Linked DNA regions of Medicago truncatula. Each later gene encodes a partner of the first gene's protein in a complex. Links are inferred from orthologs where the notes say so. Each region holds a gene or a part of one and is shown in the gene's direction. Other genes may lie near its edges.

The links.
Region 2: 30S ribosomal protein S6 alpha, chloroplastic (region 1) and 30S ribosomal protein S13, chloroplastic share a complex: the UniProt entries of both Arabidopsis thaliana proteins name them as parts of the 30S ribosomal subunit. The link is inferred for Medicago truncatula from reciprocal best matches to the Arabidopsis thaliana genes AT1G64510 and EMB3137.

What each region holds. Positions count from the first base shown.
Region 1 is NC_053049.1:46,338,481-46,341,776, reverse strand, and holds 30S ribosomal protein S6 alpha, chloroplastic, read left to right. Parts: upstream 1-1,357; 5' UTR 1,358-1,464; coding exon 1,465-1,812; intron 1,813-2,247; coding exon 2,248-2,487; 3' UTR 2,488-2,707; downstream 2,708-3,296. UniProt on the Arabidopsis thaliana protein: Binds together with bS18 to 16S ribosomal RNA.
Region 2 is NC_053044.1:36,447,305-36,449,987, reverse strand, and holds 30S ribosomal protein S13, chloroplastic, read left to right. Parts: upstream 1-1,247; 5' UTR 1,248-1,296; coding exon 1,297-1,410; intron 1,411-1,485; coding exon 1,486-1,710; intron 1,711-1,793; coding exon 1,794-1,955; 3' UTR 1,956-2,103; downstream 2,104-2,683. UniProt on the Arabidopsis thaliana protein: Located at the top of the head of the 30S subunit, it contacts several helices of the 16S rRNA.

The sequences.
Region 1 (3,296 bases):
ATTAAATTAAATTTAGAGAATCCCCGTGAATTTAGCTCAGTTGGTAAGGACAATGCATAATATATGCAAGGTCCGAGGTTCAAACCTCGGACCCCACAAAAAAAAAAATTAAATTTAGAGAATTTCAAATGTCCAAAAGCAAGGAAATTTCAAATTTCTTCCTTCTTATATTTTATTTTTCAAATTTTGCAAGTTGATCCCCATATTTTTCAAAATTTTGAAATTATCCCCTGAAAAATTTCAAAAAAAGTTGCAAATTGGGCTGATTTTTTTTTAAAACGACAATTGACCCCTCAAAATTTTTCAAAATTATAGTTTGACCCCCTTACAAATTTTGAAATCTGTTAATTGGCCCAAAAAAATAGAATTCATAAAGGTAGCCCAACAATGATACTTTTTGGATGAATTAAAATCATTTTGGTAAACTATATTGTTTGAATGATAATTTGGAGAATTGTTATATATAAAATTCATGATAATATTCTCAATATAATAAAAATATAAATTAGCAGAAAATATCTAAATAGAAATTATTTTAACTTCAACTCAATTTTTTCCTAAAAAAAAAACTTCAACTCAATTTTAATTAGGGATGATAAAATGGGTTGAACCTGTTTAACCCACATTTTTTAGCGAGCTGAGTTGGGATTTTGAACCAGCTACGTGGGGTGTTCGCTCCGCCTAATCAACTAAAAAATGGGGCGGTGATGAGGTGGGGTGGGTTGGCCCGTTAGATTAACATTTAAAAACAAACTCTCTTTTTTACTTCTTTTTATTTATATAAAAGTCACAACTCATAATTAATTTTTCAATTTTCTCCTCCTATATTGGGGAAAAAAGTTCAATTTATTTATCACTTTTGTTTCATGATTTTAGCCTCATATTTTTAACGGTTAGTCAATTGATTACTAAATTGTTTCATGATTTTAGCCTCATATTTTTTACGATTAATCAATTGATAACTCATGAAATTTTTATTTTGAATGTCTTATTGATTTATTATTGATTTTTATTTAGATGATGCAATTTATATGTTTGAATTATTTTCATATTTATAGAGGAGTCATTATACATTTAGATTTCCTTAAATTGACTTAAGTTTATATATTTTTACACTATTTATGTGAAATTTTTAATTAATATTTTTTAAAAAAACATTGACAGCTCAACATGTCAATCTTGTAAAACAGGGTATGGTAAGATTTTGAACCCTACATCTCTTGTGGCCTATTCCTTTTAGACGAGTTATTGACAAAACAAATCAAAATCAAATTTACAGAATCAATTTATTTAAAATTAATTTTTCTTTCTTTCATAAAAAAAATTAATTAATTTTTCTTATACCGAGTGAATTCTACACTGCGCTGTGTGCACGCACTGAGTTGGCCTTATCTGACTCTATCTTTTTTTTATCCGTTCTTTCGCTAACAGTTCATCTTCTTCTTCTCCTAAGCAGAAGCATCAATGGCATCCTCTTTACTCAATTCAATTCCACTCTCATCTTCTTCTTATCTCTGCACTCCTCACACATGTTCACCATTTCGTGCATTTCCTGAATCAATTTCCCACTTTCACCAAAACAGGAACAACTTTTCCATTAAATCACAAACCCTAGACTTCTCTGGTTCTTTCTTTGAAGGTGGATTTGGTTCGGGTGATGACCCGGTTACTCCCGGAACCGGGTTCACTGCTGTGGAAGAGAAAGAAGAACCGCAATGTCCACCTGGACTCAGACAGTACGAAACCATGGTTGTTTTGAGGCCTGACATGTCTGAGGATGAGCGTCTTGCACTCACCCAGAAGTACGAGGAGGTCAAATTCTTAACCTTTTTACTTCTTTCTCTTACCTTTTGTTTCTTAAGTTAATCCATTTGAAGCTTGATGATGAGTAGGTTTTATATATGTGTGTGATACTATACTAGAGGCGACCGTATTTGTTAGAATTGCAATCAATCCGCAAACTGAGAATTCGTATCAACAAACATACAATTGCTAAGGGCTGTCTGTACATGAATCAGTATAATTCTGTATCACACCAATACTAACTACATGATTCAGTGATTATTTTATTTGCATTCACTATGTTTGTTTGATTTGTTACCTTGTTTCCATTCTTTCAAAACAAACACTTTACACAGTCATTTCATTTCATTTCTCTGCTTTGTTCTTCTGAAAACATAGGCAGATAGGCTTTGTTCTTTTCTAATTGGAATAAAACACTAATCCTAACGATTTTCCTTCGTGCAGCTTCTTGTTGCTGGAGGTGGCATGTATGTAGAGGTTTTTAACAGAGGTGTTATTCCACTAGCATATAACATCCAGAAGAAAAACAAGGAAGGAGAAACCAACACGTATATGGATGGCATCTACCTCCTATTCACCTACTTCACGAAGCCTGAGTCCATAACCGCCCTTGAGCAAACATTATTGAGGGATGATAATGTTATCCGATCAACAAGCTTCAAAATCAGAAAAAGGAAATGTTAGTTTATTTTGGCATCTCCAGTAGCTCTGAAAAAAAGAATGTAACAATCATCATTTGTTGTTGTGGTATGTTTTCTTTCATTTTCATATGGATTCAAGTATTTTTGTAACAAGGTTGGATTAAACTAAAAGAGAGATGTAGGTGCTATTACTGGCAGTCTGCAGAGTTATAACACCTAGTACAAAGTGCTATATATTAGCCAATTTGCCATTCGGTTGTTCACATATCAAGTCTAAATTTTCATATTTAGAGGTAGAAGTTCATTTTGTTATCTTAAATCATATTAGGAAGAAAGTTTACAATGACTAGTGATGAATTGGAGAATAATATTGCTTAATTTCATAAATTGAGAAGGTGAAATGCATTTCTACAAAAAGTTATTAGAAAAAGAAATTACAAGAGAATGGATCAAATGGCCTGTAAATTTACCTTACAAGCGACTGGAGTTCCTTGGTTTTCAACCGGATGATAAAGTCATAGCAGTAGCAGGAGGGAACTGCTACATAGCAAATGGAAATAATTTATATTTATTTTTGCCGTAGTATAGATGTGCACTTTACCACTAGCATGTTGATTGTGACGCCGAAAATGCATGCATCTTCGTTACTTGAATATCAAAATATAAAATCGTTTATGACACCGTTTGTATTTATCTCTATCTGTCATTTACTTTAAATCTTCTACTTCTACAACTTACACACATTTAAAAAATACACAAAAATAAAAAATACAATTTACCATCAACATAATTGCACAACACACAATGCTAAATTCTGTAGAGAGATTTAGATTTTAGCTAGCTTAGGTTGCT
Region 2 (2,683 bases), on another chromosome or scaffold:
TCCGTTTCTAAATATAAGTAAAATTGACTTTTTAGATTCATTCATTTAATGATATATATAATTAATAATATGGACCACATACATCATTAAATAAATGAACCTAAAAAGTCAATTTTGCTTATATTTAAAAACGGAGGAAGTATATTATTACTAATCAATGTCATTGGATAAATCCCTCACTTATAGGTTACACGTTTGAAATTATTGATCATAATTTTTGTTTTTTTACATAAATTATTGATTTTTTTTACAAGTTAAATTATTGATCATGATTGGTTAGTTTTATAGAGTTGAATATAAATTTCTCTTTTATTATACTAGTGTAAATATTTTGTGACGTGTGCACAGACTATCATAAACATTTGATTTAGCATAGACTATCATAAAATTTGGTTAAATATAAGTAAATTATCATAAACAAATTAGGTCAAATATAAATGATGCATGAGGTTTGGAATTATATATTTTTTTTTTTGTTACGAAACGAAGGCAAAGAAAAAAAAAAAACAGAAGCAAGAAAGGAAAAAAGAACAAAGAAATTACTCTCTAGAATAGTAATTTATATTTGACTTTAAAGGATTTGCATTATCACTGTAAAACAAGCTTTTTTTTTATAAACAAGTTTAACAGTTTTACATTGATATTGAATAAATTTTTCTATTGTCGCCTAGTTATCTCATTGGATTTTTCATACCACGTCCTTTACAATTATGCATATCGATAATTCTTTGGTTCAAATATATTTTGAGTGTCTCTTAATGTATAAGTTTTTGTTTTTAAATGCTTGTAAAAAATTAAATTTTCTTAAGTACTTGTAAATATATCATTTTTAACTTTTGGTCTTTATAGTTTTGTTTTAATCCAAAATATGTTTATACTTAAACTGAAACGTGTAATATTTATTTAGTCAATATTTTAAGTGTTAAAGTCAAGTATCATTTATATCACATGAATAAAAGTTTTAATATGAATTAATTTTGCATGGATTAAAACAAAATAATAAAGATCAAAAGAAAAAAATGATAAATTTGAAGACACTAAAAACCAAAAACAAAAATTTGCAAGGACTAAAACTAATTGATGCTCCGCCGCGGACACTAAATTTAAATGCAGCTGAGTCAACGATAATGAACTGCGCTGGAAGCCAACGGTAGTTAACCGTAGCAGAAACGTAACTACTGGTGAGGACAAAAACGTATTTTCCCTGTGTTTTTAGAGGAAAAAACATCAATTCTCAGGGGATAATGATAAGGATATGGCTATGGTGAATACTTCATTTCGCAGTTGAACAGAAAAATGGTACAAACACTCTCAATGCCTGTGGCACCTTCACTCTCAATCATCTCCAAAGGCCATGCTCACTTCTCCAATCGAGTTTCCTTCCCAGTTCTCAACACTCCAAAGTCAAAGGTAACACAATTAGGGTTTCATAATTCAAGATAAATTCCAAATTCCATTCTGATTTTGATTCCGATTGAATTGTAGGTTCAAAGGCTGAACATTGTGTGTGTTCGTGTTGGTGGTGTGGAAATTCCAAACAACAAGAGAATTGAATTTTCATTGCAGTACATTCATGGAGTTGGAAGGAACAGAGCGAGACAGATTCTAACTGATATCAGTATGGAGAATAAAGTTACTAAGGAATTGAGTGAAGAAGAGCTTATTAGTCTCAGGGATGAAGTTAACAAATACATGATTGAAGGAGATTTGGTAAAAATCTCATTTTTTGTGTGTTTGTTTTCTATTATTTTGTTTTGTAATTGTAATGGTTTTTTTTTTTTTGTGAATTTCAGAGAAGGTTTAATGCACTTAATATAAAGAGGTTGAAGGAGATTCAGTGTTACAGAGGAATAAGGCATATTCAGGGACTTCCTTGTAGAGGACAACGTACCAAGAACAATTGCAGGACATTGAAGGGTAAGAAGGTTACTGTTGCTGGCAAGAAGAAAAAGTAAATATTTAGTACCTTTTTAATTTAGTCACTTGATTTGTGTATGAGAGTAAGAAAAAAAATGTTTTGGATAATGCAATTGTTTTGATTAAATTGGATGTAATTTTGTTGTTGTGAAAGTTTAAATGAAGTTTATTAGTGATATATTATGTAAACTACTGCTTGGATATGTTGAAATAAAAGTTGAAGTTATATGATCCTCTTAGCATTTGTCAGCCCAAAAAAATGATGTTTTATTGTTAAAACTCCGCTATGAAAGAAGGCTATCGCGCCATTATAGCTTCTATATGACAACATTTTGTACTAAATAGCGTATTGTGGAATAAAAGCAATTTGTCCAAATTCCGCTATGCTATAGTGGTGTAGCGCCGGTATTTAATAGCACTGATTTAGTGCATTGCATATGCTGTATGTGTTGTTCAACTGTAAATGGTTGGTATGTTTATAGGTGGGATGATTTTGGTGTGGGGTGTTCCAGTCCTACAAATGTTCAGTCTTTGATATTAGAAGAGTCTGTGTTCAATATATGATTGGATATCGATTAGCGAGTGCAATGTAATTGAATAGAGTGAAGTCACCATACTTGTTTTTAGATTTTTTTTCATATCATACTTACTGAAAAGACTGTCTGATGGAATTATCAGCATTGCACTTCTCCATCCGTAAAACATGGATTTGGAGCCACAAATGAGAATAACTGTGATTGGTTTCTTCCACTGCCATATGTGGATA